Diceros bicornis minor: one gene and its partners. The main gene of each other region encodes a partner of the protein of the gene in region 2 in a complex. Links are inferred from orthologs where the notes say so. Each region holds a gene or a part of one and is shown on either strand. Other genes may lie near its edges. The genes, in order: ITGB6, TGFB1 and TGFBR2.

The links.
Region 1: the proteins of TGFB1 (region 2) and ITGB6 are in contact, whole or in part, in a crystal structure (PDB 5FFO), measured with the Homo sapiens proteins. The link is inferred for Diceros bicornis minor from reciprocal best matches to the Homo sapiens genes TGFB1 and ITGB6. Residues at the interface, in NP_000651.3 of Homo sapiens: Pro70, Gly71, Pro72, Glu75, Leu158, Asn237, Gly245, Asp246, Leu247, Thr249, Ile250, His251, Met253, Asn254; in NP_000879.2 of Homo sapiens: Ser142, Ala143, Ser144, Asp146, Asp147, Pro196, Cys197, Ser199, Ile200, Pro201, Tyr202, Lys228, Lys231, Ile232, Ser233, Ala234, Asn235, Ile236, Asp237, Thr238, Glu240.
Region 3: the proteins of TGFB1 (region 2) and TGFBR2 are in contact, whole or in part, in a cryo-EM structure (PDB 9FKP), measured with the Homo sapiens proteins. The link is inferred for Diceros bicornis minor from reciprocal best matches to the Homo sapiens genes TGFB1 and TGFBR2. Residues at the interface, in NP_000651.3 of Homo sapiens: Arg303, Lys309, Trp310, His312, Tyr368, Tyr369, Val370, Gly371, Arg372, Lys373; in NP_003233.4 of Homo sapiens: Phe47, Leu50, Phe53, Asp55, Ser72, Ile73, Thr74, Ser75, Ile76, Cys77, Glu78, Val100, Asp141, Glu142.

What each region holds. Positions count from the first base shown.
Region 1 is NC_080749.1:42,771,755-42,775,499, reverse strand, and holds the start of ITGB6 (integrin beta-6), read left to right. Parts: upstream 1-1,062; 5' UTR 1,063-1,068; coding exon 1,069-1,113; intron 1,114-1,221; coding exon 1,222-1,297; intron 1,298-2,038; coding exon 2,039-2,118; intron 2,119-3,745. UniProt on the Homo sapiens protein: Integrin alpha-V:beta-6 (ITGAV:ITGB6) is a receptor for fibronectin and cytotactin. It recognizes the sequence R-G-D in its ligands. Internalization of integrin alpha-V/beta-6 via clathrin-mediated endocytosis promotes carcinoma cell invasion.
Region 2 is NC_080773.1:15,351,743-15,355,487, reverse strand, and holds the start of TGFB1 (transforming growth factor beta-1 proprotein), read left to right. Parts: upstream 1-1,340; 5' UTR 1,341-1,353; coding exon 1,354-1,708; intron 1,709-3,745. UniProt on the Homo sapiens protein: Transforming growth factor beta-1 proprotein: Precursor of the Latency-associated peptide (LAP) and Transforming growth factor beta-1 (TGF-beta-1) chains, which constitute the regulatory and active subunit of TGF-beta-1, respectively.
Region 3 is NC_080741.1:34,751,038-34,754,782, reverse strand, and holds the start of TGFBR2 (TGF-beta receptor type-2), read right to left. Parts: upstream 2,858-3,745; 5' UTR 2,460-2,857; coding exon 2,366-2,459; intron 1-2,365. UniProt on the Homo sapiens protein: Transmembrane serine/threonine kinase forming with the TGF-beta type I serine/threonine kinase receptor, TGFBR1, the non-promiscuous receptor for the TGF-beta cytokines TGFB1, TGFB2 and TGFB3.

The DNA of each region.
Region 1 (3,745 bases), on a different chromosome or scaffold from region 2:
GAGTTCAAAATTGAACATAGCCTTCTGAGAAGAACCTGAGCAGTCTATAACTAGTTTTCCTCTCTTCACAGGTTTCACATGCTTGTCTTGAAATACACCTTTAAAAGATAATCTCCCGGGATGTAAGCCCAGCCACAAAGAAGCCTGTTTAAGGTCAGATAGTTTATAGGGTTTAGAGAACTGTATATTTCATTCTTACCTGTTCGCAGTTTCTACAAATCCCAAAACACCTTCCTCAATACATTGGAGAAAAATATATAATCAACCTTACGAGTTTAGCCATAAAGTGTATATATTTTAAATTTGTCAGTCTTTCATTCAACAAATAAATACGTCCTATGTGCCAAGAGGTGAGCTAGAAGCTGGGACAGCACAGGAGAAAAAGCACTTGTTCCCTTGCCAGAGGGATTCAGAATCCTGGGCACTACTGTTTCTGCTGCCATTGTGGTTGTTTTGAGACAATCTAATTTTTGCTAATTTAATTTCCATATATTTATTTCCAATATCACTTTTTAATTAAGAATTCTATACTTATGGAAAAATATCTTTCATCCAATTTGAAAAACCAGGAAACACAGTGTTTTACTTTCCCTAACGTGCCTTCTAATTTGACTGTAAAATAATGATTTTTATTTTTCAGAGTTCATTTCAATTCTCTGCAAAGGATTTAACAATGGAATACAAAAATCTCAGGTATTTTCCTTTAGTTCATTTTTTAAAACCCTTGTTATATATAACTATATTATATACTTGTGTTTTATTTATCATCTTTACTGTTTTCATTAAATTAAAATTATTTTAGAAACAACTTTAGATCATATTTCAATTGCTCTTCTGACATTTTACTGATCAATATTTCACTAAAGCTATTAACTTTCTCTAGGATGCAGAGACACTAATAGAATTTACACAAAAATTTCTACTGAATGAATTTCCCCACCTTCTTGGTGATCGTACACCTGCCTTCCTTATAAGGAGAACAAGGAAGTAAATCATGTTGAAGTTGCTTTTAAACACAGCTTTTCTTCTTTACCTGTCCAGGTAGCCTCTGTTTTCATTTCAGTCTTAATGAAAACGTTTTTATTTACATCTCAAGTTTCTTTTCAAAGCAGTGTAAGTAGTATTTAAAATTTTACACTTCAAGAAAGAAAGACTTTTAACGATGTTCAGCTTTGACCTGGTAATGTTGAAGGTAATTCATTTTTTAATCTGTCTGCACAGCGAGAACTGAAACGAATGGGGATTGAACTGCTTTGCCTGTTCTTTCTATTTCTAGGAAGGAATGATCACGTTCAAGGTAAGAACTAAATTCTCCGATATATTGCTTTCGTGGTATGTTTGACAAACCTGTCATTTGGTTCAGAACTAAATCTGAAGTCGTTTTTTCTTTGATCTGTTCAATTGCTCTTTTGCCACTGAGCGAACACTAACGAATTACAGGCAGACTCAGGGCTGTTCCCACAGAGAACGCTCTGGGCTTAAGGTAAATAAACACAAAGGTTGCATGGGCATTTTAATGAGGAGAATTAAACAGCATTACTGTACAATGAGACTTCTTAATATTTTTATGACAACCATTTTGGTAACTTTTCTAGATATTTTATTGTACAACAAGGTCTTCCACTTAAGAGCAATAATCTTGAGAGAGAAAAAGGATTTATTTTAAAAATAAAAATAGAGTACAATTAAGAGAGAAGCATTTTTTAATGCATGCAAATGATTTTAAAAAATTAAAGTGGATGATGTCGAATGAGGATAATAAATAGGATTATGCTATATTTGTGAACATTAAGATCTTTTCATATTTTGAGAAAAAAGAGAATGATCATTTTTGGCTAATAAGACATACATATTTTCAATGTGATGAATGTAAAATATGAACTTTCTTACGAATTGCTAACATTTTGAGGACTGATCATTGAAGACTAAAATAAATTTTGATATTGTTTTGTTCAAGTACTTTAAAAGCCATAAGGCTCGTAAATGGAGTGACTGAGAGTGTGCTGAATCCCTTGTGTCTTGCTGGATTTAAACATAGGTGGCTGTGCTGTGGGAGGTGCAGAAACCTGTGAAGACTGCTTACTCATTGGACCTCAGTGTGCCTGGTGTTCTCAGGAGGTAAAACCAATGACCTCAACATGTTTATAAAAACTGCAGTTACACGTCTGTTAATTCCATCAGTGATGGTTCTGATTTGTCCTGCTTTCTGTGGGGTTATAGGAGTGAAACAAATCAGGAGGGGAAAATGTAAGCATTAGTAGATCAAAGCATTATTCATGTGATTACTTTCAAAAGCAATTTGTGGAGGGAGGGAATGTCAAATTATTCTGAAAAATACTTAACTCAAGATCCTTTGTTTAACCTGATTCCTCCTCTTATTTTAAAGCCATTTCTAACTGGTTACATGTAAAATGCTGAGGCTCTGAGTAATCAGAGATCATGGAGATGATATTTTCTAAAGTTAAACATACGTTCGTCTTCAGTATCATAGTTATAGTCCACTTGGGCACCAGGATCCATTCTGAACCACTGCTAGGTTCCAAGAAAAGTGTTCTGGGTTTGGGGTAAACTTTACCGTTCAGACATTATCCAATTCTTTTAAAAATTACTTTTTCATGAGCTTGATGACTCTGTTCAACAACAACGACAAAGCCTGAAACAGACATTCCTTATCTGATTAAACCCAAAACTATGTGAAAGTAGTATAAGGGGGTTGGGGACTATATAACAAGCCATCCTGAGTCACTGCCTCCTGTGACACTATAGTGCAATCTGTAAATGATTCTTGGCAAAAAAGAGCTGCCTTAGCTCTCTCTGGATTTAAAACAGTTCTCTGCTGAATCTCATGAAGAGAATCTAAACACAAACCAAAGCATACAAATGCCAGGTTCAGCAAGAACTGAGTAGGATGCTCAAAGAGGAACAAACCTGGACGCTTGATGCAGGACCAGGCTATAACTATTAAAACTCAAATTCCAAGTGGAATGTGCATCCATGGAGAAAGGCCTCACAGACAACAGAACACACACCCCACTCACTCCCCCACTATTGTGTTGACTGATGGGGTACAAATAAAAGTGTGAGGGAATTATCCTTTTTTGAGCTCAAGTATCAAAAGCAGGTTTGAGAATAGACAAAGAGGGAAAAACCCACATTTTTTTGACATTGACTCCTTGAAGAAGACAGTATTAGGTTCATACTTGAGACATAAGATAACAGATCTGTGTAACAAAATGCCCACCTCTAGAATTCTTTTTTAAATACATATTTTAGCACTCATTTAAGAGGGCTTCTTAGGTTACTAGTGATAGCTTGACTTGTAGATGATACTTGGTAGCCAAGTTATTGTCAAATTTTAAGGCTGGATTATTCTAAAAGGGCACCCTAATAGGGGCTGACCCAGTGGCGCAAGTGGTTAAGTGCGCGCGCTCAACTGCGGTGGCCCGGGGTTCGCCGGTTAGGATCCCGGGCACGCACTGACGCACCGCTTGTCAAGCCATGCTCTGGCGGCATCCCATATAAAGTGGAGGAAAATGGGCATGGATGTTAGCCCAGGGCCAGTCTTCCTCAGCAAAAAGAGGAGGATTGGCAGATGTTAGCTCAGGGCTGATCCTCCTCACAAAAAAAAAAAAAAAAAAAAAAATAGTTCACCCTAATAGAAGTAGTTATATCAGTTGAGGCAGTTGGAGCAAAAAGTAAATCAGGCTTCTGCTTAGAGCAGATAGGAAATAGGTTCTATGGTTAC
Region 2 (3,745 bases):
GTCTCTCCTTGGGGGTCCCCCTCCTCTGTCCCCCTCTCCCCAGTGGGTCCCCGTCTTCTGGCTGACCCTGTCCCCTCTGCCTCAGCCTCCCACTCTCTCTGCCCGGGGTCCCCCTTCTCTGATCCCCTGTACGCTGTGTCCCCATCCTCTGATTAAGGCCAGGTCTTCATTTTCTCGCTGACCCGCACAGTCCTCAAAGCTACACGCATCCCGGTCGTTGGGAGCGCTTTGGTAGCGCTCGGCCGCCAGGAGGCAGCACCCTGTTTGTGGGGCGGAGCCGGGGTGCCCGCCCCCTCCCCCCAGGGCTTAAGGGACCCCCCTCGGAGCCCGCCCACGCGAGATGAGGACGGTGGCCCGGCCCCCCCATACCCTCCCCCTGGGGGCCGCCCCCGCCCCGCGCGCTTCCTGGGTGGGGCCGGGGCGGCTTCAAAACCCCCCGCCGCCCCAGCCGGTCCCCGCCGCCGCCGCCGCCGCCCTTCGCGCCCCGGTCGTCCCACCGTCTCCGCCCGCCGCGGCTCAGCCAGACAGCGAGGCCCCCGGCCGGGGCCAGGGGGGACGCCCCCTCCGGGGCACCCCCCGGCTCGGAGCGGCCCACGGGGCCGGCCTCGGCCCGGAGCGGAGGAAGGAGCCGCCGAGGAGCAGCCCGAGGCCCCAGAGTCTGAGACCAGCCGCCGCCGCCCCCGCCGCCGCCGCCGCCACTGCGAGGAGGAGGGGGAGGAGGAGCGGGAGGAGGGACGAGCTGGTTGGGAGAAGAGGAAAAAAAGTTTTGAGACTTTTCCGCTGCCGCTGGGAGCTGGAGGCGCGGGGACCGCTTGGCGCGGCGCTGCCCTGCGAGGAGGCAGGACTTGGGGACCCCAGACCGCCCCCCCACCGCCTCGGACTCTTGCTCCCTCTCTGGCCCCTACACGGCGTCCCCCAGGCGCCCTCATTCCGGACCAGCCCTCAGGAGCCGCAAACCCGACTCCCAAGAAGACCTGACCCAGACCTCGGGCGCACCCCCCTGCACGCCCTCTCCCCAGCCTCTCTCCTGAGCCCCTGCGCGCCCAAGGACCCTTCTCCGGGATCCGGGAGACGGGATCTCGCTCAGATCTGCCACAGCTCCCCTATTCAGGACCACCCACCTCTGGTACCAGATCTCGCCCATCTGGGTTTCTTCGGTGGGATACCGAGAAACCACCCATCAGAGCCTCCCCTCCACCGCCGCTCCGTTCTCCCTGCGGGCCTCAACTTTTCCCCCCAGACCCTCCTACCTTTCCTCGGGAGCCCCCCCAGCCCCTGTAGGGGTGGGGCCTCCCTCTTCCCACCCCAGCCCGGCTCGCGCTCTCGGCAGTGCCGGGGGGCGCCGCCTCCCCCATGCCGCCCTCCGGGCTGCGGCTGCTGCCGCTGCTGCTGCCGCTGCTGTGGCTACTAGTGCTGACGCCTGGCCGGCCAGCCGCCGGACTGTCCACCTGCAAGACCATCGACATGGAGCTGGTGAAGCGGAAGCGCATCGAGGCAATCCGCGGCCAGATCCTGTCCAAGCTTCGGCTCGCCACCCCCCCGAGCCAGGGGGAGGTTCCGCCCGGCCCGCTGCCCGAGGCCGTGCTGGCCCTTTACAACAGTACCCGCGACCGGGTGGCCGGGGAGAGCGCCGAGACGGAGCCCGAGCCCGAGGCGGACTACTACGCCAAGGAGGTCACCCGCGTGCTAATGGTGGAAACAAGCAAGGGTGAGCTCAGAGGGGCAGGGGACCCTGGAGGGGAGCCCCCAGGGGGCGCCGGAGTGCGGGGGTCATGGGGAGGAAAATACTGGCGGAGAAAACTGGCTGGAGGAAGAGGACCCCCGGGGGCGCCAGGAACGTGGGAGGGAGATCCCAAACAGGATAGGGCTGAGCTCCTTACCCCACCAGGTATCTGGTCTTGAAGAAGAGGAGATAGTGAGCCAAGTGGACCGCTTCTAGAGGGCGACAGGAACATGCGGGATCGTGGGGGAAGTCCCCTAGAGAGAGAGAAGCAATTCGGGGGAGGAATAGAAAAAGACTTCTCCCTCCAGGGTGCACTAGAATGCGGGGGTCGTGGGGTGGGGGGCTGCAGAGTGGGAGCCCTGTTTGGGAGACGGGAAGATCCCAGCATTTGGGAAAGGAGAGGCAGTGCGGAAAGCTGACCCAGAGCTCAGGGGTCGTGAGGCGGGGAGGTTCAAGAAGGACAGAAAAGCTGGGTGAAGCGAATCCCGGAGGTGTCAGGAAAGCGGAGAGTGGACCCGCTTGTGGAGGGCGCAAGGAGCACGCGGGATTGGGGGAGGGCCCAGAGAGAGAGAGACGGTGAGGAGGGTGTAAATTCGGGGAAGAAAGGGACGCGAGGTCGTAGGGAGGGGAAAGCTAGTGGGAGAGAAGCGGAGACCCCGGAGGGTGCCGGGGATGCGCGGGGAGGTGCCCTCAGTATTTCGCATGGGGACGTGAGAGGAAGCCCAGCAGAGGAAGCGAGCCCCCGGGGAACCTAGAATACTGGGTCGTGGGAAGGGGTTTACAGAGAGGGGAGACAAGCGTGGGAAAGGTGGACCCGGGAGGGGGGCGGAGGAGAGAGAGACGGTGCCGTGCTGGGAGCAGCGAGCCCCCCCTATGCCGCCGTATGGAAAGAAGTGAGCTCAGTGAGGAGTCGAGCCGTAGGGGGAGAAGTGGGTGGGTACGACTCTACAAGATCGGGGTGAGGAAACTGAGCTGGTAGGGGTGAAGAAGCCCCACGTGGGTGCCACGCGCGGGGGGAGGAGCCTGCGCTTCCGGAAGGAGGGAGGAGGACCCCGCAGAGCCAAAGGCTGAGAACCTGGACCCCAAACTCCCAGTTCCTCTCTGGGAGGCTGGGGAAACCCCAGCGTCCGGCCACCTCGCCCTCCCTCCCTCCCTTTCCTTCCCGTGCCCCGGGGGGGCGGGGATCGCGCGCGGAGCCTGGGGCGAGACGAGGCAGGTCGGGTCCCCGCCTTCGCGGCGGCGGCGCCTCCCGCCCTCTGCACCCCGGCTCGGGGCGGAGCTACCGCTGGGCCCGCCCTTTCGGCGCCCTAGCGGGGACCCAGGCGTCCCGGTGGGCGGGAGGTTGGGGGGCGGTCCCCCTGCTTTCATTTTCTCTCTTGGGCGGTGGACTTGTGGGTCCCTGACCCATTCGTGCGCTTAGTTTGCGGCTCCAGCCAAATGACGCTGCTCCCCACACACATCTCGGTCTCACCTTCTTTTCCGTCGTCGCTTCACCTTCGTTGTAGGGATTTCTCTAACACTGATAGTACCTTCGATCGCCTTCTGTCCTCCCGGACTGTCTCCATCTCGCCCGCAAACCCTGTGTCTCTCTTCCCGTGTGTGTCTGTCTCTCATCTCTTTGCATCCCCATTACTCTGTCTGTCCCTGTATGGGTCTCCCAGTCTGTGTCTCTCCATCTCTTCCCTCTCTCTCTCTCTCTTTTTCTCCTCCATACCCAATTCCTCTCCTCTCCCTGTCTCTGTGGTCTCTCCATCTCTCCCTCTGACCATTTCTGCTCCTCCTTTCTCTTTTCCTGCCTATCTGTCTCCCCGGCTGGGCTCTATCCTTCCTTTGGGGGTTGCTGAGTAACCCCTGGGCCAAGATAGGGCTTATTTGTGAGGGGTGGGGGCTGGCCTGGCTAGAGTGGGGGGGAGGAGGAGAATGGGGCCCACAGAAGGGGTTTCCTCCATTCTTTCTCATCAGATCCTGTCTCCACCATTTCGGCACCCCCACTGCTGAGGCCTAAAGCAGGTGACCCAGTTC
Region 3 (3,745 bases), on a different chromosome or scaffold from region 2:
GGCCTAGTCTAGTCTCTGACTCTGACAAATCAAGCATATCTTTAACATGATTTTAAGAAAGAAGTTTATCCACATGACACTTTTACCAACGTTGAGTCATCAACAAGCATCTCTTGGTAGGTATTTGAAAAGCAAAAGTCACATTTTTCAGATCTGAAGAGTTTTCAGACATTGAAAGTTTTCCCCAAAAGAGTAATTACTTAATTTTGAGCATTTAGGAAGAGTGAATCTAAGTCAAAAACAAAACTTTAAAAAATTTTAAGTATATTTCTTAGTGAAGTTTGTTCTTAGACTGAGATCCTTTATCTGCTTGTCAATCTACTCCACAGAAGATGGATTTTTTTTTAGGTGACCTAATAGGAGGCTGTAAATAATCTCATTTCCTCATATCTTATCATGCATTAAGATATTTTGAAAAATGTTTTGACAGTGTACCAATTATGTTAGAAAAATTCTGAAACCATTTATTTACATGGAAAATTAAAATGCAATCATGGAATCAGGTTTCTCATCTTCATTATAGTTACCTTCAACTATCTTCAAAAATTTAATTTCAAATGAATACAAATTCAAATGATTCCTTAGTTCAACCATTTTGAAACTTTAATTCCACAAAACATAAAATTTGTGCATTTTGGAAAACTGTTTAAAAGCCCAAATAAAAAGCCCCTAAGCTTTTAAGTTAATTGTTTAAAAGTGTGTATGTAGATAAAATGAAACCGACTCATAAACTATTGAGTCTGGAATTTGCAAATCATAAATCTTATCCTTGTAAACAAAACCTAACAAAATCAGAGCCTGCTAATTTCCTTCTTTCGTAATCTGAAACAAAAGTTTTAGTGATTTTTAACATACACAGAAAATTGAGGGTGCCATTTAAAATATTTATTAGCAAAATATAACTCAATTTTTAAGAGTGTGGGGTATAATCAGAAGCAACTGAACATTCTAGTACTGCAGTATACAAAAACAGCCGAGAATGAAACACTGGGATTTGATTAAACAGTAGAACTCAAATTTATGTTAGGATTTTTTTGTTTACAATAAGTGCTTCTTCCTCATTCCATTAAAAACTCCCACCTCCATGGGACTTTGAATATAAAACATAATCTTAAAAAGTTCTCAATCCACTTCAAATACCCTGAAATGTACCATTTAGAACCTGGTGCATATTTTTTCTAGACAAACCTAAAGGAAAGCCTGTGCAGCCCTTGGTAAGTAAAAAGAGTGCCTCAGGGTGATGTGGACTGTCAAATCCAATACATTTCATCCCACATCCACACAGGGCATCTCCAAGTCACCAAAGGGGGAAGAGAGGGACATAAAATGATAAAGATGAAGGTAATGTAAAATTATCCAAATCTAACCGCGTCACTTTACAGATGAGCAAACTGAGGCCTGAGAAAGGTCCAAATACTCCGTTACCCACAGCCCAGCTGCAGATTCTCAATAATGTGGATCCTAGCTGCAAAAATTCTAACTCTTCAGGTCTCAGGGGTTCGATGCTTCTCATAACAAATCTTTAAGAACTCAATTCCTGCATTTTTCCCCCTCAAAAACCTCTAGAGATAGAGATCAGGTGGGCAGCGGATTTACGATTTTAACCCTTCCGTTTCCACCAAACGATTACTGCAGAGAACCGTCAACTCCCGGAAGGCAGGGTTGTCTTGCTCCAGGCACCATCTCCAGCACCTAGCACCCAGCACCCAGTAGGCACTCAGTAAACAACTCTCCGCCTTCCACCTGACAACCTCCACTCCCTACCCCATCCACGCCTAGCCGTCAGTGGAGCCGGATAACTTTCCTTTGGAAAGAGCTTCTTGTCTTGCAACTTTCCTACAGTAACTCCGGGCCAAGAAGCCGGCCTGGGGGAGTGTGTGGCCCTTCCCAGGGGCTAAGGATTGAGTAACTGGCCATTTAAGGGGGTGGCTCGGCCAGCCGGCGTGGGCACGCAGCATCGCCGCGGGGCGCGGTGGCCCAGGTGTGCCAGCTGCTCTGGCGGCCTCTGCGGCCGCCGCTCCGGGCCGCTGCTCCCCTGCCTCCTTCAGATAACCAACTTCTCAAACTTCCCTTTCCGGGGGTGGGGGCTCGCCTCGAACGCGGCCAACACAACGCCTTTCCTGCCCGCACAAAGGGGGCCAAACGTGCCCCGCGCCCCTTTCCACTTGAACTTTCCTTCTCTTTTTAAAGAAAAACTCACGTCCCTGCGGCCAAGGGAGTCGGGCTGCGTGGGTGCCGCGAGGGGAAACCGTCCCGTTTCCGCCCGAGCGCTGCGTTCCCGGGGCCGCCTGTCAAGCGCGGCGAAGGGGCGGGGAGCCCGGGAGACCCCCGGCGGCCCGCCAAGCCCCGGCTGGGGGCCACTCACCCGACTTCTGAACTTGCGGTGGGATCGTGCTGGCGATGCGCGTCCACAGGACGATGTGCAGCGGCCACAGGCCCCTGAGCAGCCCCCGACCCATGGCAGACCCCGCTGCTCGTCATAGACCGAGCCCCGAGCGCAGCGGACGGCGCCTTCCCGGACCCCTGGCTGCGCCTCCGCGCCGCGCCCTCTCGGGACCCCGCGCCGGGCCGGCCGGGCAGATGTGCGGGCCAGATGTGGCGCCGGCTTGCCAGCTGGGAGGGGGCCTGGAGGCCGGCGAGGCGCAGGGAGGCCCCCGGCGGCCGAGGGGAGCTGCGCAGGAGGCCGGCTCCTGCCCCGGGCGTGTGCGCGCGTGGGGGTGTCTTCGGTCGGTGCGCGCGAGTGACTCACTCAACTTCACCCGGGCGCTGCGGGGGAAACAGGAAACTCCTCGCCAACAGCTGGGCAGGACCTCTCGCCGCCGCAGAGCCTTCTCCCTCTGCTCGCTTCCAGCCCTCGCCCTCTCTCGTAGCTGCCAATCACGTCCCCTGGACCAGCCCCTCTGAGGGCTTTGGCAAACTTTCAGCTGCCCCTCACCGCTCTCAGGAGCTCCTCGCTCCAAGGATTTACTCCGGAGTGACTAAGTGCACACGTTTCAGAAAGTAACTGAACAGAGAAAGTGTATATCCTTTCCATAGCACCCCCACGAAGCATCTCCCCCGCCCCCAACCTTCTTGGGATTGTTCCTAGGTGCTTTAGAGTTGTATTTTCAAACTACAAGTCACGACCCGTGAGTGGATGCTGAAATCTAATGAGTTGTGAGCACATTTTTTCCCTAATAAAATAGTAAGAGTAAGGATTGCCTCAAACTTTTGTTTCGGTTATGTGTGCATACACTGTCACATTGTAAAAAGGTTTTCTTACTGTAGGTTGAAGTCCGGACGTTTTTTCTCAAACTTTCATGTGCATATTGATCATCTGAGAATCTTGTTAAAATGCGGATTCTGATTCAGTACATCTAGGATGCAGCATTTCTGATGAGCTCTTGGGTGGTGCCTCCCATTTTGACCTGCCTCTTCCTGGGGGTGATTAAGTGAGTAATTGTAAATGATCAGCCATTACAGAGTGATAATGGTGAGAAATCTTATCTTCAGAATGTATCAAGTACAGTAGAAAATGTAAAAATGAAAGTGGCCTGGGAGTCAGCTAAATACCAGTGTTTGCATTCCAGTAGTGCCCATGAAGAGAGAGAAAGCTTATCCTCTCCTCTGCTATAGGGGAAATAGTGGGAGGCGGACAGAATAAACTTTCAACTTTCTCTTCTTGCTAAGGTGACCAGGTTTGCCCAGAACTATACTGGTGTACATCTGTTTTGAAATTAATCATTATCCAACCAAGACACATTCT